3 linked regions of the Lepisosteus oculatus genome follow. The protein of the gene in region 3 interacts with the protein of the main gene of each other region in a pairwise test. Links are inferred from orthologs where the notes say so. Each region holds a gene or a part of one and is shown on either strand. Other genes may lie near its edges.

Region 1 (7,518 bases), on a different chromosome or scaffold from region 3:
ACAGGTAGAGACACACACAGACAGACACACACAGGTAGAGACACACAGACACATAAACACACACAGGTAGAGATACACACACAGACACACAGGTAGAGACAGGCAGGCGTGTAGAGCAGGCAGTGAGTATTGAAGGATGCATGTGGGTGTCTCTCCACCAGGACAGCGCAGAGCACAAGCTCCTCCTGTTCGAGAACGCTGGCTTTGCTGGGCGCAAGATGGAGATCGTGGACGATGACGTGCCCAGCCTGTGGGCGCACGGGTTCCAGGACCGCGTTGCCAGTGTGAAGGCACTCAATGGAACGTAAGGCCCACCCCACTGTACCCCCTGAGTCACCTGTCCGTCTGTCTCCATCCTGCTGCACCTCATCCTGTACCCCTGCTTGTGAACCCTGTTCTCCCTTTGGGACCTCCCCAACTACACTATACCCCACTGTACCCCTCTGCACTGTACTCCCCTGTAACCCACTGTACTCCTCTCCACTGTACTCCCCCTTACCCCACTGTACCCCTCTACATTGCACTCCCTGTACTCCCCTGTACCCCTCTACACTCCGCTGTACCTCTACACTGTACTCTCCTGTATCCCACTATACCTCTCTGCACTGCACTCCCTGTACCCTACTACCCCTGTGCGCTGTACTCCACTGTACCCCTCTGCACTGCACTCCCTGTACCCCACTGTAACCTTCTATAGTGTACCCCACTGTATCCCTCTACACTGTACTCCCCTGTACCCCACACTACCCCTCTAAACTGCACTCCCTGTACTGCACTCTACCCCTCTATACTGTACCCCACTGTACCCTTCTACACTGCACTCCCTGTACCCCACAGTCCGGGTGAGTGTTGTGTTGGCTCCTCGACACTCGATGCTGCAGTGTCTTCGCTGGCCTCTCACTCTGCTCTCATGCTGTCTGACTGACCTCTTCGACTTCTGTCTCCTTTGATATCTAGAAGGCCAAATAGGAGGTCTAATGAACCTTTTCATTCCTGCAGGTGGGTGGCCTACATGTACCCGGGCTACAGGGGGCGCCAGTTCGTGTTCCAGCATGGCGAATACAAGCACTGGAACGACTGGGAGGCCGCGCTGCCGCAGATCCAGTCTGTGCGCCGCGTGCGCGACATGCAGTGGCACAAGAAGGGCTGCTTCACCCTGCCAGCCATGCCCGCCCCCCCCACGGCTCCCAGCAGCAGCTGAAGGAGACCAGAGCCCACCTCCCACGCCAGTCTCACCCCCACCCCCCTCCCTCGCTGCGCCAAGAAACGGCGCATGCACAGGTGACTGTGTGCGAGTGAGACAAACTGGCAATAAAGATACTCTTAACCCAGCATATGCCTCATGCCTGAGTTCATTCCAGCCACCATGTATATGTCTGGGCCTGCTCTGGCCTCCCAGTAAGAGGATACATTGTACAATCAACACAGCAACTATCCTTCAGAAAACACTGTGATTTACCGAGATTTCACTGTGCCTCACTATAATCTCACAGGATTCCATTCAACTGTACCGTGAATTCACTGTGCTTCACCATAAACTCACTGGATTTCACTGTGCCATACTGGGATTTCACTGTTGTTTCACTGGGATTTCACTTTTCCTCACCTACTGTGATGAAAGAGGGGCCATACTCCTTCAATTTAGTAATTTATTTGACGAACCAAACAATAATCAGTTGAATTAATTAATTAAGCTATTAATAATAAAGGCCCTGGGGTTGGAGGAGAGCAGTGCTGTGCTTCTGGGAATGTTACCTGCAGAGCAGAGGGCAGCCGCCCCAGCGGGATGCACCGCGAGGGCCGTCAACAGGGTCGAGGCCCAGCAGTCCTGCAGAGGTTCAAGCCTCCCAAGGGATGTGTTCCCGGTGTGGAGCGTAGGGCGGAGGTCAGGGGTCAGAGGTCAGGGGTGTGTCTCACAGCTGGTTTAAGACAGGATCTCGCTGCTCTGCAGTGACGCTTGCCCCGCTCCTTCCCCCTGTGTGTCCACTGCTGGCTTTGTACTGTGAGCTCCTACCTGACCTCTTAATTACCACACCCTCTCTTGAGAGGACTTCCAGGACTTCTGCTCAGCGGCACCACGGAGCCTTCATCCCGCCAGGCTCCCCCAGGGGCGCACCTCACTTTAGCTTACTGTCCTGGGACCCCCAAAGGACACCTCTAAAAGAGACACACTTGGTGATTCCTTTGTTACTTTAGCAGACGTACAGTGGTTGAAACCCTTCTGAAGGCAGGATATTAGTAGGACCAGGTCTTCCAGAATCACTGGACAACCTCCTCTGGTCAAACCCCAGGAGTAGCGTCAGGGTCAGGATCAGGGCTGGACCAGTCACTTCCGGGAGCTCAGTCTGACGAGACTGGGTAGTGCTATGCCGGTCAGCTGTTCACACAGGTCAGACTGGACTGGGCAGTTCTGTGCCGGTCAGCTGTTCACACCGGTCAGACTGTGCAGGAGAGAAAGGAAGTTGCGTTGTGTGCTGAAGTGCACGTAAACCAGTAGACCATTAGATGGCGGTCTCTCATCTCTTCACAGTATAAATTCCAAACCAATGACAGGATCAGACATCAACCTGTCTGTACATCTCCTACCTGAAGACATCATTTCTAGGCTTGATTTCTCCAAGAGAGAAACTGAGACTTGAGAGATTCCCTCTGTCTCCACTTAACAGGGACTTACTGGCCTGACTGATGAGATACAGTGCCAATGAAGCACTAACAGTTAGCAGAACATTTACATACATTCACGACAAAACATTGTTATTAGGCTTTTACAACATAAAACATTATTTCCAGACAGGCTCACTGTCTGTTCCTCAGGCTGTGACAGGAGATCACACACTGTATTATTATTATTGAGAGACAGGCTCACTGTCTGTTCCTCAGGTTGGGACAGGAGATCACACACAGTATTATTATTGCGAGACAGGCTCAGTGTCTGTTTCTCAGGCTGTGACAGGAGATTACACACTGTATTATTATTGAGAGACAGGCTCACTGTCTGTTCCTCAGGTTGGGACAGGAGATCACACACAGTATTATTATTGCGAGACAGGCTCAGTGTCTGTTTCTCAGGCTGTGACAGGAGATTACACACTGTATTATTATTGAGAGACAGGCTCACTGCCTGTTCCTCAGGCTGGGACAGGAGATCACACACCGTTTTATTATTGAAAGACAGGCTCACTATTCCTCAGGTTGGGACAGGAGATCACACACTGTATTTTTATTATTATTATTGAGAGACATGCTCATTGTCTATTCCTCAGGCTGTGACAGGAGATCACACACTGGGCTGACAATTCAACCCCTCTCTCTCCTACTAGGATTGGGAACTGTTCTGATTCTGGCAGGTTTGGGAATTCTGGGATTAGATTTGTCAATTTTGGGAAGAATGTTTGTCTAATCCCAGAACATTTGTCGCAGGTAGTGCTTCTTTGTCTCTGTTTCTCCCCTCTGGTAGTGGGAGCACAGCCTGTGCTCTCTGGGCAGCCAGGTCTGCCTGTGTCGCCCAGTTTCTATGGCCAGGCTGTGGTCACTGAGCCTGTACTTCGTCAGGGTCTGTTTCTTTTTGCTAAAAATGTGGCTAGTGTGTATTGTCTGTTTAGGATTTAAGGCATTCCAGTTTATGTTGTGTTTGTGTGTGTGTCCCAGTGTGTGAGATATTGCTGTTTGATCTGTGCTGTGATGTGGTTGAGTCTGAGTTGTGGTGCTCTAGCAGTGCTGTCCTGAGGCTGGCTGGTGTCAGTGTGGCTCAGGTCAGTGAGCCTCAGGACCAGCTGGCTCAGAGGGCTCTTTGTTGGGCTCAGCTCTTGGCTCAGCAGGGCCTTGTGGTGGAAGGAATTTTGGTCGCTGTTTTTTAGATGTGACCAATCCTCTTCCCTCTCACCCCCTTCTCTCTCCCCTCCCCATCGCCCTGCTGCCTCTGGTGCCAGTGCAGTGTGCTGTGCCCAGCGAGCCCTTTGTTCCTGGGTGCTGGCTGCGCTCTTGGCATGTCGCGGGCTGAATCATCCAAACATACAACAAAGCACAGCCCTGGCTGTCCTGCTGAGGGCAGACAATGCTCCCCCAGGTCATCTGACCACCGGGCCCATTGAGCTTTAATCTGCCTCAATCCGGGTGTGATGGTGGGGGCAGTCAGGTAGGGAGGTTTCTGGCACAGCTCTCCTGCCCAGGGGTATAAAGGGGCTGTGTTCACTGTCCGCACTGCACTGGCTCACTCAAGTACTGGTAAGGGTATCGCTGTCTCCTCTCTCCATGTCTCCCTGTCTCTCGTCTCTGCTCTCTGTCTCCTCTCTCCCTGTCTCCTGTCTCATATCTTCTGCTTACTGTAGTCTCGTTGCTTCTCAATCAGTTGCTTTGTTAGGTGTACAGTAGATACTCTCCAGGTGTCAGTGTGTACAGTAGATACTCTCCAGGTGTCAGTGTGTACAGTATATAGACTCCAGGTGTCAGTGTGAACAGTAGATACTCTCCAGGTGTGCAGTGTGTACAGTATATAGACTCCAGGTGTCAATGTGTAAGCTAGATACACTCCAGGTGTCAGTGTGTACAGTAGATACTCTCCAGGTGTCAGTGTGTACAGTATACTGTATAGAATCCAGGTGTCAGTGTGTACACTAGATACACTCCAGGTGTCAGTGTATACAGTAGATACTTTCCAGGTGTGCAGTGTGTACAGTATATAGAATCCAGGTGTACAGCATGTACAGTAGATACTTTCCAGGTGTCAGTGTATACAGTAGATACTTTCCAGGTGTGCAGTGTGTACAGTATATAGAATCCAGGTGTACAGTAGATACTTTCCAGGTGTCAGTGTGTACAGTAGATACTTTCCAGGTGTGCAGTGTGTACAGTATATAGAATCCAGGTGTACAGCATGTACAGTAGATACTTTCCAGGTGTCAGTGTGTACAGTAGATACTTTCCAGGTGTCAGTGTGTACAGTAGATGATCTCTAGCTTCATTTCTCTCTGCTCACAGACATCACAGCTCCACATCACTGTAACCATGGCTACAGACCACCAGACTCCAGCATCCAAACAGCAGCAGCCTGGCAGCACTGCCTTCAAGGTGAGCAGGAGTCAGTGTGGGCCGCAGGCTGCCCCAAGGTCATGTGGAGTCCACTCTGAAGTGCCCCTGGGCCTGAGAAAGGCAGTCCTCTGTGTGGAGCTGCCATCTCAGGCAGGGGGTGTCATCTGCACAATGAGAAGTAACGATTCTCAGGCACCAGGGTGCCCTTTGAGCCCCCGTCAGGCATTTGTGAGGCTCTGAGTCTCTTTAGTCTGAAGGGAGTGTCCCACACTGAGAGGCTGAAGGAACTGAGTCTCTTTAGTCTAAAGGGTGTGTCAGTGTCCCACACTGACAGGCTGAAGGAACTGAGTCTCTTCATTCTTGAAGAGAGATGACTGTGAGGAGACCTGAGGCAAATCTTCAAAGGCAGCAACAAAGTCAACCTAGTGAACTTCTTCTGAATAAACAGTGAAACATGAGCCAGAGGGCACCAGTGGAAATGACATGAAAGTGCATTTAAATCTGAGAACAGGAGCCACACCTTTACACGAAGGGTTGTGGGAGTCAGGAACAAGATACCTCCAAAACCTGGCTTCATTAAAGAGTCACATGGATGTGATCATGGGACTATTGAGTTACACAGACAGACTTGCCCTCTTGCTTGTACATGTTTTTCTGCCCATTTGGTCAGAATGATTCACAGTTTGTCTCTTTGCCTCTGTCCTCTCCCCCAGCTTGTCATCTTTGAGCAGGAGAACTTCCAGGGCCGCTGCCACGAGCTGACCGGCCCGTGCCCCAGCCTGAGGGAGGGAGGAGTGGAGAAAGTGGGGTCCATCCTTGTTCAGTCTGGACCGTGAGTGGGGGAAGGGGGAGGGACTGGCAGCGAAGGGAAGGGGACTGGCAGCGAAGGGGAGAGGGGAGAATGTGCATTAAGCTGCTCCTCTCCACTCTATCTCTCTTCCCAGCTGGGTGGGCTACGAGCAGCCCAATTGCAAGGGGGAGCAGTTTGTGTTTGAGAAGGGGGAGTATCCTCGCTGGGACTCCTGGACCAACAGTCGCCGTAGCGACAGCATCGCAGCATTCCGGCCCATCAAAGTGGTACGCCGCCCCGTGCCTCTGTCTGCTGCTGCTCGGTCTGCCGCCATGTTTGTCTCTCCTCACTGCTTCCCTCTTTCCCTGCCTCCCCTTCTCAGGACAGCCAGGAGCACAAGATCGTTCTGTACGAGAACCCCAACTTCTCTGGCAAGAAAATCGAAATTGTAGATGACGACGTTCCCAGCTTCCATGCTCATGGATACCAAGAGAAGGTCTCCTCTGTCCGAGTGCAGAGCGGAACGTGAGTCTCAAACAAGCAGATGCACAAACACACAGAGAATCACAGAGACACACAGACACAAAGAGACACAAAGACACATGGAGACACACAGACACACAGACGCACAGACACACAGACTCACAGACACACAGACACAAAGAGGCACAAAGAGACACAAAGAGACACAGATGCACAGACACACAGACACACAGAGACACAGAGACCACAGTTACATGGAGACACACAGAGACCACAGACACACAGACACAGAGACACAGAGAGGCAGAAACACCCACACACAGAGACACAAGGACACACAGAGACACACAGAGACAGAGACCACACACACACAGGCACACATACACAGACACACAGAGACACAGACACACACAGAGACACAGACACAGACACACAGACACACAGAGACACAGAGACCACAGACGCACAGAGACACAGAGACCACAGACATGTATAGACCACAGTTACACAGAGACACACAGAGACCACAGACACACACAGAGACACAGACACAGACACACAGACACACAGAGACACAGAGACCACAGACGCACAGAGACACAGAGACCACAGACATGTATAGACCACAGTTACACAGAGACACACAGAGACCACAGACACACAGGCACACAGACACAGACACACAGAGACACATGGAGACACAGAGACACACAGGCACACAGAGATACAAACAGAGACACACAGACATACAGAAACACAGAAACACAGAGACCACAGACACACAGATACACAGACACACAAACACACAGACACTCAGCTACACAGACACACAGAGACACACAGATACACAGACACAGAGACATACAGAGACCACAGACACACGGAGACACATACACACATGCAGACAAAATCTGTAGATTTAATTTTACTTTTATTTTTTGTTTTGTTTTGTGTTAATTTTATTATTTTTATTTGCTTTGGCAACACTGATTGTATCCATCGGTCATGTTAACAAATCACCTTGAATTGAATCGAATTGAAATAACACACAGAGACACAGAGACACAGACACACAGAGACACAAACATACAGAGACACAAACATACAGAGACACAGACACACAGAGACACACAGACACATGGAGACACACAGAGATACAGACATACAGAGACACACAGACACACAGACACATAGAGACACACAGACACACAGACACA
Region 2 (8,154 bases), on a different chromosome or scaffold from region 3:
CTCACAGCAGCAGGGGCTCACCTGGCCTCCATCAGAGCTGAGCTCTTCACGTGGATACCTCCCAGGGTCCTCCGTGTTCACAGGCTGGTGGTTTTAAGTTGTTTAAACGCACTGGCTAAACTGCACCTCCTGCACATTAATGAAGATCTAATCCAAAAGCTTGTAATCAGGTCAACTGAGGGCTCAGTCATTTAACTGATGCGCACGTAACGAGCCGGCCTGCTCCTCCAGGGCAGCCTGAGCCACAGACTGGGCCTGCTGTGGAGGAACGAGCCGGCCTGCTCCTGCAGGGCACCCTGAGCCACAGACTGGGCCTGCTGCGGAGTAACGAACCGGCCTGCTCCTCCAGGGCACCCTGAGCCACAGACTGGGCCTGCTGTGGAGTAACGAATCGGCCTGCTCCTGCAGGGCACCCTGAGCCACAGACTGGGCCTGCTGTGGAGTAACGAACCGGCCTGCTCCTCCAGGGCAGCTTGAGCCACAGACTGGGCCTGCTGTGGAGTAACGAACCGGCCTGCTCCTACAGGCTGCCTGAGCCACAGACTGGCCTGCTCCTCCTAGCTATGATCCCAGGAGCTGTGTTACTCATGTACTTTGCCCGATGGGTGACAGTTACAGAGTACTGACTGAAATCGCCAGCAGACTTGGCCTCACTAGCTGCCCAAGAGTCTCAAAGAGTTGAGCACATCAGCTCCTACAACCTCAGCCTTGAGGGAGATTCTTCAGGACTGTTTTGATCTAGAACATAAATGTCACAATCAAAGGAGCCACTTGGCCCATCAGGCCAGCTTGGTAGTTAGTAGTTAGCTGATCCCAGGATCTCATGCAGCTCCTTCTTCAAAGCAACCAGAGCATCAGCTTCAACAACATGGCAGGGCAACACTCCTCCCTCTGTGTATAGACGGCCGCCTGTCCTTTACTTTCAGTGCACTTCCTCACAGGCTCCACTTGTGTCCTCTGGTTCATGTTTCACTGTTAATTCTGAAGAAATGATCTGGGTTGACTTTTGTCTAAAAATGTTCAATGCTTGTATCAGGTCTCCTCACAGTCGTCTCTGCTCAAGACTAAAGAGACTCAGTTCCTTCAGTCTGTCAGTGCAGGACGGTCCTTTAATATTTGTACAGGTATCAGTCTCCTCACAGTCTTCTCTGCTCAAGACTAAAGAGACTCAGTTCCTTCAGTCTGTCAGTGCAGGATGGTCCTTTAATATTTGTACAGGTATCAGTCTCCTCACAGTCTTCTCTGCTCAAGACTAAAGAGACTCAGTTCCTTCAGTCTGTCAGTGCAGGACAGTCCTTTAATATTTGTATCAAGTTCTTTCCCCGTGCTACCAGAACCCAGGACCTGCAGGCCTGCACAGCCTCACTGTCCTACCAGAACCCAAGGCTGTGGGCCTGGACTGCCTCACAGTGCACAGGCACACACTATCTCACCACCGGCAGCTGCACCCTGTACAAACAGCACACTAACCAGACCAGGCTACTGGAAACCCCGGTTCTCTAATGACTAAGAATTACCGTTCTAATTAGCAACGGGCTAGTGGGCTGAAACTGAACAGGAGCTGTAATGGCAGGCCTGTACTGAGGAAGTGCAGACGCAGGGGAACTCGGACTGCCCCAGCGCAGGGCAGGGCCTCTTCTACAGCCAGCCACAGCGGAAGACTTTACTGCACGGCACTCTCTAACCGCAGGGCTCGGGTTCGAGCACCGTAACACACAGACTGCAGCTCAACCAGCAGGACAGTCAGGGACATGCCTGGAGCTGGGCTCTGCAGTGGAGACGCTGGCCCTCTGGGCTTTAACGAGTGCCAGTCCCCTGTGCTGCCCCTGGGCACAGCGGTGCCACCCTGCCGTGACCCCTGACAGGGGCTGGGCTGACCCCAGGGAACAGGGGCACCAAGAAATCCCACTGAGACAAGAGGGGCAAAGGAGCACTGTGAGAACACAGGCATGGTGTCAGCACTGTGAAACAGCCCCACACACACACTGTGACCCTGAAACAGGCACCAGGAGCCCCCCCACACACACTGTGACCCTGAAACAGGCACCAGAAGCCCCCCCACACACACTGTGACCCTGAAACAGGCACCGGGAGCCCCACACACCCTCTGTACTGTGACCCTGAAACAGGAACCAGGAGCCCCCCCACACACACACTGTGACCCTGAAACAGGCACCAGGAGCCCCATACAGTGTTCATTGACACTGGTCATCTTAGCAGAGCTCGACTTTAACCCAACGCTTCAATTCGCTGTCTTTTGCGACAGCGCTGCGAGGTGACTAGATACTGAAAGCCAGCCATTTTCACGAACACCTAAACATTACAGGAAACACGCGCACAGCGCTCTCCAGGCACCCACGGAGCCCTGAAACTCGTCCCACGAACGTCTGGGATGATTGCTCGTGCACACGGTAGGAAAAAAAAAAACAGTGCCGTCGGTAAAACACTTTCAGACCAAAGGCGCTGTTATTTTTTCCATCTGCTGTGGAAAGGGACTCCACTCGTCTCCTGCGCGATTTCTTGAGAACTCGCAGCGAGAACTGCAGGGGGGGGGAGGGCAGAGGCTCCGGTCTGACCTGGGGCAGGAGCGCTTTGCCGCTCACCGCGCCGCGCAGAAAACGACAGATTCTCCGCCGCTCTCCCGCAGCGCCGCGGCGGGCGTGAGATTCGCCGGACAGCCTCGCCGGAGCCTCGGTGCATCGTGCCTCCCCAGCCCGGTGGGCGTCTGGCTCGGTCTCGCACCAGGGCTCTCCGACAAAATCCAGCAGAGACACAGCCGGACCCCCGTCTTAGAAATTAATGAGGACCTGCCGGTACACGAGTGGACACCCCAACGCGCCAACCCCACGCTAAAGCTGCACCTCCGGAGCTCCGACAGTCAGAGGTCACCCCGAGGACAAACTCGCGCTGCCCAGGTGGGCGCTCTGTCCACCTCCTGCCCGCTGCAGGATGGGATTTCAAACACCTCTCCCAACTGCCCCCCCCCGCGCAGGACACCGGGGGCCCGAGGAAGAGGGGGGGACAGGTAACCGAGGCTGAGAGGGGGGTGAGACAGAGAGACGGGCAAGGGTGGAAGGAGACGGAGAGAGGGGCAGAAAGAAGACGGTACTTACCAGTTTACCTGGGAATAGCACACAGACATGAATTCACACCTGCGGATGGGGCGAAAGAACACGGTGATGGGAGAAATGACTTCTCAGCTCGCTGCTGTCCTGATATACGTCCACGGCTGTGAGGAACTACAGCCCGGCACTGCCGGTGACGCACAACATCAGCGAAAACAGAAAGTTACAATAACAACAAAAAAGAAAGTCCCCTTGCTGCTGACGTCCCCTATACCTCCACTTCCTAATACTGCTCTCAGCGTCTGAACCGCTGACAGGCGGCTGCCTCGGTTTATATAGTGGGGGGCGTGTCCTTCTCCTGCAGCCACTCCCGTCGCAGCCAGGGCCTGAAATTCTTCAATGGCAACACTCGCGCCGAGCGCCGGCTCGCGCACCGCCTCTGACCAATCACGGGCGAGCAGATCCCGATTCATTGAGGAAAAAAAAAGCGCTTGACAGCCACAGGCAGGCACTGCGACACGCGCGCCACACCCGCGCTGAGACACGGAGAGACACACACACACACGTACACATTATCCACACTGCCCGCAACAGATCTGGAGACACAGCAATGCGCACAGTCACGGCATGCAAGACAGAGGTCCGATTACCGTTCTCACACTGCTACACAATGAGACGGTGCAACACCAGCGTTACGTTGTGATGTGCCACTGAAGTCACAAAGGTATTAATTACTGCGAGATGCGGCTGGGGATCAGGGAGAGAGGAAGTTATTTTCTTTACCTTACCAGTGTGGATGCTCGGGCTGGCCCATCCCTAGACCTCCTCCAGTTCCTTTTTGGCCTGTCCTGGATCCCAGTTCACAGGAGGACTCAGCCACAGTCCAGGATCGCTGGTGTCCTTCTGCCAAGGCCAGTCCAGCTCTCCTGTGATTGTTTTGCGGTCCTCAAGGCAACATTTCCACCTGGAGGGCTCTCTGTCAGGGAAAACCTGCGCCTCTGTGCTCCTTGATTTCACTTCTAATTCATCTTCTCCCGATCTCTGCTCCTGCTGGGCCTGCAGTCCCCTGAAATACTCTCGTGAGTTGGGCTTGTCTGTAGCTTTTAAATGACTTCCCTCCCTATCACATCAGTTCAATAATAATAATTATTATCAACCCAAACTGCCTGACATACAGGAGGGGACCCAGTTCACCCCCCACACAGCAGCCATTCCGTATCAGCTGCCCCACCAGGGTCACAAACACACAATGGAGGGTCAGTGTGTCTGCGGGGTGTCCAGTCCTGGAGGGTCAGTGTGTCTGCGGGTGTCCAGTCCTGGTCCTGGAGGGTCAGTGTGTCTGCAGGGTGTCCAGTCCTGGTCCTGGAGGGTCAGTGTGTCTGCAGGGTGTCCAGTCCTGGAGGGTCAGTGTGTCAGCAGGGTGTCCAGTCCTGCAGGGTCAGTGTGTCTGCAGGGTGTCCAGTCCTGGTCCTGGAAGGTCAGTGTGTCTGCAGGGTGTCCGGTCCTGGTCCTGGAAGGTCAGTGTGTCTGCAGGGTGTCCAGTCCTGGAAGGTCAGTGTGTCTGCAGGGTGTCCAGTCCTGGTCCTGGAGGGTCAGTGTGTCTGTAGGGTGTCCAGTCCTGGAGGGTCAGTGTGTCTGCAGGGTGTCCAGTCCTGGTCCTGGAGGGTCAGTGTGTCTGCAGGGTGTCCAGTCCTGCAGGGTCAGTGTGTCTGCAGGGTGTCCAGTCCTGGGGGGTCACTGTGCCTGCAGGGTGTCCAGTCCTGGTCCTGGAGGGTCAGTGTGTCTGCAGGGTGTCCAGTCCTGGAGGGTCAGTGTGTCTGCAGGGTGTCCAGTCCTGGTCCTGGAAGGTCAGTGTGTCTGCAGGGTGTCCAGTCCTGGTCCTGGAAGGTCAGTGTGTCTGCAGGGTGTCCAGTCCTGGTCCCGGAAGGTCAGTGTGTCTGCAGGGTGTCCAGTCCTGGAGGGTCAGTGTGTCTGCAGGGTGTCCAGTCCTGGAGGGTCAGTGTGTCTGTAGGGTGTCCAGTCCTGGAGGGTCAGTGTGTCTGCAGGGTGTCCAGTCCTGGAGGGTCAGTGTGTCTGCAGGTGTCCAGTCCTGGTCCTGGGGGGTCAGTATGTCTGCACGGTGTCCAGTCCTTGTCCTGGAGGGTCAGTGTGTCTGCAGGGTGTCCAGTCCTGGAGGGTCAGTGTGTCTGCAGGGTGTCCAGTCCTGGTCCTGGAGGGTCAGTGTGTCTGCAGGGTGTCCAGTCCTGGTCCTGGGGGGTCAGTGTGTCTGCAGGGTGTCCAGTTCTGGTTCTGGAGGAGTCTCTTCAAAGCAACACCAGAACAGCTGGTCAGCAAATACACCTGCCGTCCGGTACTGTAGTGGACACCGTGCTCCACTCGGGACTCCATGATCTGTCACTTGGCTGGGTGGGAATCACAGGACCCCCTCAGTGGCACTCAGGAGCTGCTGGTGTGGTTCTCTAGTGCTTGAAGTAATCTTCACGCCTGAACGTGCACTGCAGGTCTCCTGCACGTCTTTCCTCAGAGGCAGGAGGTGTGTTGAGGCCCAAGGAAGCCGGCTGTCAGCATCCCAGATGTTAATCCAGAAGAGTAAGGTTTGTGGCCGCCAATTTTGTAGTTTTGATTCCAACACAGTTCTCAAAGGCTGAATGGAACCACATGCTGGGTTAATACTCTCTTCTGTGGACATCTATAGAACCAGGAGTAGAGGTCAAGAACTCTGTACTGTAGATCTTGGATATGGTACCTCTGGTTTCTTACACTTTACTGCCCTCACGTGGAAAGGAGGGGATAACAGCAAGGATGCAGAAGCCATGGATGGGAAAGCTGAGACACAAATATGTAACAAACTCCCACAAGAGATCTTTCAGGAAGTCTACAGTTCTGTTACAATAGGAGCTACAGTCCCAGTACAGTAGAACAGTTCTGTTACAATAGGAGCTACAGTCCCAGTACAGTAGAACAGTCCTGTTACAATAGGAGCTACAGTCCCAGTGCAGTAGATCAGTCCTGTTACAATAGGAGCTACAGTCCCAGTACAGTAGATCAGTCCTGTTACAATAGGAGCTACAGTCCCAGTGCAGTAGATCAGTCCTGTTACAATAGGAGCTACAGTCCCAGTACAGTAGATCAGTCCTGTTACAATAGGAGCTACAGTCCCAGTGCAGTAGATCAGTCCTGTTACAATAGGGGCTACAGTCCCAGTGCAGTAGAACAGTCCTGTTACAATAGGAGCTACAGTCCCAGTGCAGTAGAACAGTCCTGTTACAATAGGAGCTACAGTCCCAGTACAGTAGAACAGTCCTGTTACAATAGGGGCTACAGTCCCAGTACAGTAGATCAGTCCTGTTACAATAGGAGCTACAGTCCCAGTACAGTAGAACAGTCCTGTTACAATAGGAGCTACAGTCCCAGTGCAGTAGAACAGTCCTGTTACAATAGGGTCTACAGTACCAGTACAGTAGAACAGTCCTGTTACAGTGGGAACTACAGTCCCAGTACAATACAACAGTCCTGTTACAATAGGAGCTACAGTCCCAGTACAGTAGAACAGTCTGTTACAATATGGGCTACAGTCCCAGTACAGTAGAACAGTCCTGTTACAATAGGGGCTACAGTACCAGTACAGTAGAACAGTCTTGTTACAGTGGGAACTACAGTCCCAGTACAATACATCAGTCCTGTTACAATAGGAGCTACAGTCCCAGTGCAGTAGATCAGTCCTGTTACAATAGGGGCTACAGTCCCAGTGCAGTAGAACAGTCCTGTTACAATAGGAGCTACAGTCCCAGTGCAGTAGAACAGTTCTGTTACAATAGGGACTACAGTCCCAGTACAGTAGAACAGTCCTGTTACAATAGGGGTTACAGTCCCAGTACAATAGAACAGTCCTGTTACAGTGTTATAGAAGTTTATAGAAGAAGAAAAGATTGAGAGTTTTGAAAGAAAATGGCTAGTATCATTCAGTGAATGCATAATTGAATCAAGAGAAAATTACATTTAATACAACTAATTGAACTTTGTACTGCTTATGTAGAGGTGTCTGTCTCCCTCTGCTGGAGATTCCTTAATTTTACAGCTAGAGAAGAGTAATTACAAATTCATCTCCAAAGGAGTGCTCAAAATACACTGGAAACAGTTCAGAGTCACAGCCTCACAGAGAACTGGTCAGTGCTCACTGGACATAGTGCAGACTCACAGAGCTCCAGTATAGTGGTCAGTACATACTTGACACACAGCACAGTCCCAGAGCTCCAGAGGATTGGTCAGTGCTCACTGGACATAGTGCAGAGTCACAGAGCTCCAGTGTAGTGGTCAGTACATACTGGACACACAGCACAGTCCCAGAGCTCCAGAGGATTGGTCAGTGCTCACTGGACATAGTGCAGAGTCACAGAGCTCCAGTGTAGTGGTCAGCACATACTGGACACACAGCACAGTCCCAGAGCTCCGGAGGATTGGTCAGTGCTCACTGGACATAGTGCAGAGTCACAGAGGTCCAGTATAGTGGTCAGTACATACTGGACACACAGCACAGTCCCAGAGCTCCAGAGGATTGGTCAGTGCTCACTGGACCCTATGCCAGACTGTGTGGAGGAAGTTTAAATTTCACATGATAATCTCTTCTTTGACACAACAAACCTCGATTTTGCAGCAGAAGACAGAATTATAATTGATCTCTGATGGAGTGACCCTGTAGCACACTTCTCACACTGTGCCTAGGACAGCATTGGCCAGTGTGAAGTGTACCCCGTTTCTCTAAGGTCTGGCTTCCTTCTGGAACACCATAACTCCAGATTGTCAGTCAGCGCCCAGCCCTGACAGTACTGCTCCAGAAGGTCTGTGGGCGACAGCAGGACCAGGGCATCCTCATAGAGCAGGAACTTGATCTTTGTGTCATGCAGTATGAGACCAGGAGCTGCAGACTGTTCCATCATCTCAGTTAATGAGATACTGTAGATACTGTAGATATTGAAAAGGGTTGTTACTGATATTGATATCAACAGATATGGAACCCCACCCCCTGAGTGGAGAGCTCTCTTCTCTTGTATCCAATCTTCTCTGTGCCCTGTGCGTCTCTCATCGCCCT
Region 3 (8,348 bases):
AGTGCCTTCTGTGTCCCAGTCACCAATACACGCAGCTGCGACACCTCTGTGTATACCTTGTGGTTATCACAGAGTGCATCTGGGCCAGTGTCCAAACCAGAGGCCTGGCTTCTACTGGGAAAACACCCACTTCCCTCTTGACCACTGCCATGTGAGCAGCGTCAAAACACACTGAAGGCAGGTGCGTTACACTTACAGCAAAGTGCTTTAATATATACAGGGAGGCATTAAAAATGCATCAAATGAGTTTTGGAATCAATAGTGTTTTGTTGCACTTTAAATGCTTTTCAGTATATACAAAAACAAGAGAATTTTATCAGAGAACCTGTCATTAACTCCTCTGTGAAGTCAGACTACTTATTCAGTCACTCCTTTGGTCTTTTTCAAGTCTGTAAGTAAAAAATTCAGCAACCATTTTCCAGACAACTGCTGCGGTAAACCTAATGCCTCAGCCTTTGAGCTGGGTGGAGCGGGGATTTTCCTGAAGCCGATACCTGCGTTCTTGACTGGGATTTGCCAACACCCCTGCAGTGTAACTGCCCTTCAGGTACAAGGTACCTGACTGTACAAGAACACAGGATCTGGTTCACACTCTCAGAGAGGCAATGGTCCCCACAGCTCCAGCTACAAACTGCTCTGGAGCGCTCCTGTGCTCTGTCACGGGGCTCGCTTCTGCACATAAACCCTGCCCACTTAAGGGCATGGCGTTTCTACACGCACAAGTTCCCTAAGATTGTCCTACTTCCTTGAACTGTTTTTGTGTCTTTGAGGCACGATCAGTAGCTGACTTCACAGAGGCTCGTCTGTCACTCTGTGGACCTTTTCCCCCTTCCTCAAGGGACTGACTGGTCCAGCTGCACCAGGGCCCTGCACTCAGTGTGCCTTTGTCTGCTCCTTCCCTTGCTCATTCAGCTGTTCTGCAGCGTGTTTGATTTTACTCAGCAAGCTAGGAGGACAGAGGCCCTGATGTAGCAGCGAATTCCATGAGCCCACCCTTTCTGAGTAATGGAGGATGAGTGGGGTCCTATCCCCTGCCTGTAAATGCAGGGGGGGGCTCTCTTCACTTCCCGTGGCTCAGCGGGTGCCGGGGTCGAGGAAGACGGGGCGGTGGTGGTGGGGTGGCAGTGGCGAGGAGCCAGGGAGGGCGAAGGGGCGGGGGAGAAGGAAGTCTACTTCTTCTGCGGCGCAGCCCCAGCGGGCTTGTCGTCGCGGGTGATGGGGATGGTGCGCTCGGCCACTTCGGACAGGTTGCGCGTGGCGCTGATCGTCAGCACGCCATCGGCGGACAGCGAGGAGGTGATGGAGCCCGGCTCGACCCCTCCTGGGATCCTGTACTTCCTGTGGAACTCCCGAGACACATAGCCGTGCTCATCCTGCCGAAGGGAAAGACACAAGGCACGCTGGAGGGCAGGCTGGACCCCGGGAGACTGCAGGAGGGGAGCAGAGAAAGAGAGAGTGGAGAGGGGAGGGCCAGGGAGACAGGGCAGGAGCCGGGAGGAGGCAGGAGAAAAGGGGGATGGAGAGGCAGGGAGGGAGGGTGTTCCCCTACCTGGCGGTCCTCGTGCTTCCCACGGATCTCGATGAAGTCGCCGTTGACCTTGACGGACAGCTCCTCGGGGGAGAAGTGCTTGACGTCCAGGTGGATTGCGAACCTGTCCTTGTCCAGACGCATCTGCCGGCCAGGAGGAAGCAGGGTCAGCACACAAAAACACACCTGTGCAGCCTGGGCTGCTCACATGCACACAGGTCAGCATCCCCGTCACAGGGCAGGGCATTGAGCCATCAGGTGTGCCTCATTATTAAACAGAAGGATTCATACAGGTATCTGTTTCTTTCTCTTAGAGCCACAAGCTGACAAAGCGCCTCTTAAGTGTGACCAATTCCAGCTTTAGCAGGTTAATTCCAAGAGGTATTTTAGGGCTGGTTTTCTAGGCGGCTGAAGGTTACAGACGAGCGCTCTGCAGTCTGAAAGAGCAGCTCTGACCCTGGGAGTCAGCTGAGTGGGGGAGTGGGCAGTTTGCACTGCGCTCTGAGATTCCTCCCATGGGTCACATTGTGACACCTCGCAGCGAACACAGAGGGCATGGTGCTGGGCTGAGCTGGCTGCAGGCAGCGGGAAGCAATTCTAAACATTCAGAGGCCAACATGTGCACGCGCCCGCCGACGGACTTAAAGGAACAGCTCACATCATCTGTGCTGTACTGGTTTCATGTCCGAACTGTTGGAGTCACTTTCTTTGTCGAGTGAGTGTTTCATCAAACTACAGGGTTTTTTGTCTTAAACTAACAGGGCTCAGGTATTTGAGCTGGTGATCGTTTTATGAGGAATAAAGTTTTAACATGCTACCAAGAAAATGTTGCCACAGTAGGGAGGGACTCGCGTGACACAGAGGGAACCTCATCACGGGATCCCCAGGAATCGGAGCAGGTCAGGACACTGAGCCCCAGGACTCATGTGTGAGAGAGCCAGAGACACCCCACCGTTTCCTCCCTGACTTCAGTGCCCACGTCAACGCCAGCACCCAGCCCCCCACAGCAGAGCAGCAGCTCCTGTTTCACTGCGCTTGATCCTAGTGCTGGTGACGCTGTGGATACGACGTCTCAATATCTGCTGCGCTCTTCCCTGCTGTCACATTCCTGGCCATCCTGCTCTCACAGACAAAAACACCCCCTTCCAAGCCTTTTCTCTCCCACCTCAAGGATTTCAAGCCTTGGTCTCCATATCCCACAAGCCCTTGGTCTCAATATGTCATACGTGCAACGGTTTAGTTTAGTAAAGACTTAGCAAAATATTAAGGTTTTCACAGCTAGTTTTGAAAACATTCCTCTGTAGGAAAGAAGCTATAGGTCCTGCAGCAAACCTGTGAAAAGTCAGAGATTGTCTCTTTTGTCTTCTGGAGAATTCTGGAGCTTTGGCTCTGGAAGGTTAGTCGACGGTCAACCCGCAACAGGCCCGGCCCTCACCTCTGACAGGCCGCCGTCCATCCAGCTGGCACCGCGGAAGGAGGCCCGGGGCCAGTACATCAGGGGGAAGGGGGCGAGCAGCTCGCTCTCTGGGATGTGCTCCCCGAAGTTCTGCTCAAAGATCCGGACGGGGAACAACGAGGAGAAGAGGGGGCGGCGAAACCAGGGGCGCTGGATGGCGATGTCCATGCTGGCTGGGCTGGGCGCACTCTGTGCCTGCTGCTGCCGTGCCGCTCCTGCTGTGCCTCTGGCCCTCAGCTCACTTATATAGCCGCCCCACCAGCCTGTGCCAGCCTGCCACCCTCCTCTTGAACTTTCTGGAACGGTGATGTAAACCGTCTCCCCCGCTCGCCCTCTCCCCCTGCAAGTGCCAGTCCGTGTGTGTTTACGTGATTACTGGCAGTCCGATTTCATTCAGGCAAGCGGCCCTGCGATTGTTCTGGGGGATTTTAAATAGTGCTGATGCCCCCGTGCGCGCAGCGCTGGAAAGTCTCCTTTTGTGCTGGTGCGCGGTTTTCTGTGTGTGCCTGCACGGCCAGCGCCAGGACCCGGCTCGTCTGTCAGACGGGTTTCGGTTTTTGGCGCGCACTCCTCGGGCTTGGCCTCTCTTCCTCCGGCTGCCCCGCGTGCCGGTGGGATTATTTCCGCCGCGCTCCGGTGCCCCTCTCCCCCGCCTGCCCTGACTCCTGTTTGTCCAGGGAGGCTCCAGGCCGGATCAAAGGCTCTGGTGGGTGTGTTTGCCCAGGCGCAGGCAGGGCACCCTGTGTGCAGAGTCAAGCCCCGGGATAAACCACCCCTGGCAGCCCAGCGCAGGCTGCCTCTGCTCCAGGACACAGCACCAGCCTTTGCAGGTCCTTCATTCATTTATTTAGTCAGCTTCTCCACTCAAGATGTCCTTTATGTGTGCAGGTATTAAACTCTCTATCAAAGCTGTTCTTCACAGTATGGTGATGAGTGCTTTTCACAGCTACCTCTCATACTTGAGAAATTCTACAACAGCAAATTTGCGAGACATTTCTGATCTTCCCTATAGAGTACGTGCCTGTGGATATGCTTTGATAAGCACCACCTAATGCTGCACAGTAGCTGTACTGTACTTCACTACTCTGTACTGTCACCACAGTCAACCACAATGCACTTTTATTAGGGCATCAATGGAGGGTAAGAGGATCTACTAGCGGGTGGCACTGTGGCCTCACAGATCTCGAGTCGGGTTTGTGTCCAACTTTAGGGAATCAGTCTGTGTGGAGTCTGCATGCCCCCCCGTGCTTGAGCTTGATTGGCTACTTTAAATTGTTTCGTCCCTGGTTCCCATGAAGAAGGGAACTAAGCACCTCTATTCCATTCTGAACCCCCTGCTCAGATTTTGGACAATATTTCGGCCAATACTTATGTTAACACCTCTCTGGATGTGTAGACTGGACAGTAGGCCACTTCAGCCCGCAACAGCTGCTAACAGCAGTAGCAGCCATCAGCAGAGCAGCAATAACAACACTGTAGAGCTCTGTGGAGTTCTGGAGACCTGCAGGGGCCTGTTGACGGATCACCAAACACTCAGCTCCCAGAATGCTGGACTGTTAGCATCCCCTGGTGTGTCAGTCAGAGCCACAATCACTGTAAGAGCCCCGCCACATTATTCTAGGAAAGGCAAACAGAATTCAAAATGAACAAAAAAGCACTCGGGACTTCCTTCACCTGGGACCTGCTGTAGTCAAGAGAATTATCATCCAACCATGAAAGAAGTGGGATTTGACCTGATCATTGTCGCTATTGTTAACGTGCCTACACCTGGTGACATCATTTAGTCACTGAGTCTGACACCCCTGCACTTCTAAGGCCTTCTCCTTCAGAAGATACGAGCTGCTGTGATACTGTACACATTCACTAGCCTCCTAGAGCTTCCTGGACCTGACAGAACTCTTGCCTAGACCCCTGGACACCCTGTAGTGCCCAAAATAAGTACACTCCATCACCAGGAGGGGCCCCAGCACTGACATCACACTTGATATGTACAGGAACCACAGAAGACAGGAGTGCAGCCCTGGGCAGGTCAATACTCACAACAGGTATGATACACATAAAGAAATATTGCACAGTTCATATCATATGCATATGAGAAAGACACAGCTTTCACTTTGAACTTTTCATGTAAATGAATCACGCAGAGGCAAACTGCTGCTGTCGTGACTTTGCTCCGCTGTGCACAAAAGGCGTCGCCCCCCCGCCCTCACCCAGAGAAACATCAGAAGAGCAGCCTGTTAATCAGCCGCTCGACTTCCCCCCTGCCCCAGGGCGATGCCAGACTTGGCAAGGCCTGGGGCAGAGCTCAATAGCCGTCTTGTAAACAGGGCAGAGACAGGCGGTGTCGGCTGGAGACAGGCTGGAGTTCGGCGTCCTCTCGGACGTCCGCGGCAGTGTGGGGCTCCACCCGCGGACCCCGCAGGGTCAGCTAGGTGATATATAATATCCTCTGAGAGCTGTGGGCTTATTCTTAGGTCCAGGAATGGGGGGAGATGTATTTCCTTACACTTTCTCTACCGGGAGGGTTCAGCTTTTCATTCCACTCGCAACCTTGTCGTTCGAAGGGCCGTATTCAGCAGAGTGCTGACAGTACCAGGCTGGTAACATCATCACAGTTCCCACAGCTCCACACAAAGCCAGGTCCCACTGTGGCCTGCAGTGCTTCTCCCAGTCGTGACGTACTGCAGTAAGTGCAAAATTATTCCACGCATTTCTAATCCTTCAAATAAATCGTCCCAGGCTGCTCTTGGTGAGATGTAATATCCCGTCTCGGAATCGCAGACAAGAGCCCTGCCAGCCGGTCTGTCCAGGCAGGACTGGCCTGTCCCTGTGGGCCATTTTAAACTGATCCATCAGAGATCCCAGTGGCGTATTTGTCTCTGGATTTATTTGTAGTTATGATGTCTCCTTTGGAGTGTCTGTGACCGGGCTATTTCTGGCCTCTTTATCAGCCCCATGCAAACACAGGCACACAGTCACTCTCTCTCTCCCCGACTCTCTCTGCAGACCCTGCCAGTCGTTTCCGCGAGGAACTGAGCCGCCGTGCCCTCGCAGCTCGCTGGGATGTCGGAGCGCACCGTTCCTCACGCGTACCCCATGAGTGTGGAGTACGAGATGGCGTCTCCCTGCCGCATCTACGACCAGAACTTCGGGGAAGGTAAGGCCTCCCGCTGTGCTGGGCTCGTGATCGTGCGTCGGGTCGGCGTGTGTGCGGTGGAACCATGGAACTGCACAAGTCAACAGCGCCCTGTCCTGGTGGAACTGGACGCTTTTCTTCAGAGTGAAAGAAGGAACACAGAGGGGCTATTAAACAGCTGGGCACACAGAGGGGCTTCACAACAGCTGGGCACACAGAGGGGCTTCACAACCTTTTCTGTTCCTGCACAAAACTTAAATCTCCATCCATTCTGAGCAAAAACAAATTCACCAAGAACCGACCCACAAGAAGAAGGAACACAAATGATCTGATCTAGCGCGCTGGTCTGTGGTCACTGGGCTCTGGGTTCAAATCTGCAGTCGCTGATGGTCTGGGTTCAAGTCCACAAAGTGCGGAAGCAGGGCAGTGCGGTGGCTCTGTGGCTGAGGAGCTGTGCCTGTGGCTGGAAGGTTGCTGGTTCGAATCCTGTGACCAGTGGAGGAATCCTACTCCGTTGGGCCCCCGAGCGAGGCCCTTAACCCCAACTGCTCTAGGGGTGCTGTATAAATGGCTGTGCTCCGACCCCAAGCTTCTCTCCCTGTCTGTGTGTCTCATGGAGAGCAAGCTGGAGTATGCGAAAAGACAAATTCCTAATACAAAAAACTGTATAGGGTGAAAAAAGTGATCTTATCTTAAACATTTTACTAAATGACTGTAGCTTGTATGAGGCTATTAAATTGGATTAGATTCTTGCCAAAAGCTTAAAAAGCTCTTAAAACTGTACCAGGGTATTGAAGGCCTGTATGTGGGCATGATAGATAACTGGACATTACTTGAAAGTTGCATGTGATGAGGTAAGGATGCAGGCAGGCAGGCTCACGGGCTCCGAGTCTCAGTCGGATTGCCCCTTGGAGCTGGCGAGGTGCTGACGTGAGAGGGAAGTGACAGATCGACCTGCCCCTGACCTCTCCTGCTGTCGGGGGCCCAGGCAGAGCTGTCACGGACATCGCCCTCCCATGAGCCGCACCAGCCTCGTTCCTCAAGAGGCCGAAGAGGCATGTGTGCAGAGCACCCCCTGGTGGTAGAAGCTGTGAACTTCGGCTTGTCTCTCGCCTAACTTCCTTTAGACTCTTGGAGAGAGTTTCCCTTTGTTTTGGCCTCCTGCTCTGTGGCAGCGGAGCATGAAGGAGTAAAAGGCTGAGAGGGAAATAAAAACAGACGTCTGGCGGCGGAGGGGAATTCCCCGGCCCAGCCCGAAAATAAACTGCCCTCCTACAACCCTGGAGGTCTTGGGAACAGAGCAGCCAGCCTGGCAGCACATTGACACCCCTATCAAAAGACACGCAGGGCTGCCTTTGTTCAGCCTGTTTCTCGCCGGCGAATCCAGACTCCAGAGGAGGAGTAGAAGCTGAGGGATCGCGCTGGTCACCCCAGGGTCAGCCGGATTGAAACCCTGGCTTGACAGGGGCCTCACCTGCTCCCCGCGACCGACCCATCCCCCCAAAGACAGGGGCTTGCATCTGCCCCAGTGTGGGTCTCAGGTTCCGAACCCGTCCTCTGCGGGGGACGAGGAAGTCTCGTCGTGCCAAAGGGAATGGAATTTGTGAGAAATGTATTGACTGTATTAAAATAACATATTAAAATCAATACATTAAGTGCACACCATGACTTTCCTTTGTAATGGCTCTGAAGCAGGCCTGCAAAATAGCATCAGAGCCTTTGTGCTTGGCAGGTGGTTTACTCTGGTAAAAGAGACATGTCCCTGACCAGTGTCGTCTGTGAACGTTTAGAAAAAGGATCTGCTACAAGCGAAGAGACATTGTACACAGCCTTACAGAGGCGCATTGCCAGCGTCCTGACTCTGTTATTACACAAATAATTGCACATACACCATACTCAATTGTAAATCCTTTATTACGAGAATGATTTTTTCTTGTTTATTGCCAACAAACAGTGTGCAACATGGCAGCAGCTATGTCACCCTGCAGCTCCCAGCTCCCAGCTCCCAGGTTGAGCCTGGCCTGCCGAAGCTGCTCTCTCTCGCCCCCAGGCCTGTCGCCTCAGGACGTCCTGGCCCCCACCCTGTACCACGGCTACTACATCCGCCCGCGGCTCAACAAGCAGCTGGAGCGGGGCTTCTCGCAGGTGGACAGCGGCGACGACTGGTTCCGCGTGCTGCTGGACGTGTGCCAGTTCACGCCGGACGAGATCGCGGTCCGCACCGTGGA

The links.
Region 1: the proteins of cryabb (region 3) and crybb2 interact in a two-hybrid assay, tested with the Homo sapiens proteins (2 studies listed by BioGRID and IntAct). The link is inferred for Lepisosteus oculatus from reciprocal best matches to the Homo sapiens genes CRYAB and CRYBB2.
Region 2: the proteins of cryabb (region 3) and lbh interact in a two-hybrid assay, tested with the Homo sapiens proteins (2 studies listed by BioGRID, with this or other methods). The link is inferred for Lepisosteus oculatus from reciprocal best matches to the Homo sapiens genes CRYAB and LBH.

What each region holds. Positions count from the first base shown.
Region 1 is NC_090717.1:140,577-148,094, reverse strand, and holds the start of crybb2 (beta-crystallin B2), read left to right. Parts: upstream 1-4,140; 5' UTR 4,141-4,224; intron 4,225-4,977; 5' UTR 4,978-5,004; coding exon 5,005-5,067; intron 5,068-5,741; coding exon 5,742-5,860; intron 5,861-5,972; coding exon 5,973-6,105; intron 6,106-6,200; coding exon 6,201-6,343; intron 6,344-7,518. Other genes in the region: crybb3 (beta-crystallin B3), read left to right, coding at 162-304, 1,000-1,201. UniProt on the Homo sapiens protein: Crystallins are the dominant structural components of the vertebrate eye lens.
Region 2 is NC_090697.1:29,447,425-29,455,578, reverse strand, and holds the start of lbh (protein LBH), read right to left. Parts: upstream 3,379-8,154; 5' UTR 3,143-3,378; coding exon 3,114-3,142; intron 1-3,113. UniProt on the Homo sapiens protein: Transcriptional activator which may act in mitogen-activated protein kinase signaling pathway.
Region 3 is NC_090718.1:15,357,752-15,366,099, reverse strand, and holds the start of cryabb (crystallin, alpha B, b), read right to left. Parts: upstream 3,310-8,348; 5' UTR 3,153-3,309; coding exon 2,964-3,152; intron 1,673-2,963; coding exon 1,550-1,672; intron 1,374-1,549; coding exon 1,170-1,373; 3' UTR 1-1,169. Other genes in the region: hspb2 (heat shock protein beta-2), read left to right, coding at 6,048-6,141, 8,171-8,348. UniProt on the Homo sapiens protein: May contribute to the transparency and refractive index of the lens. Has chaperone-like activity, preventing aggregation of various proteins under a wide range of stress conditions.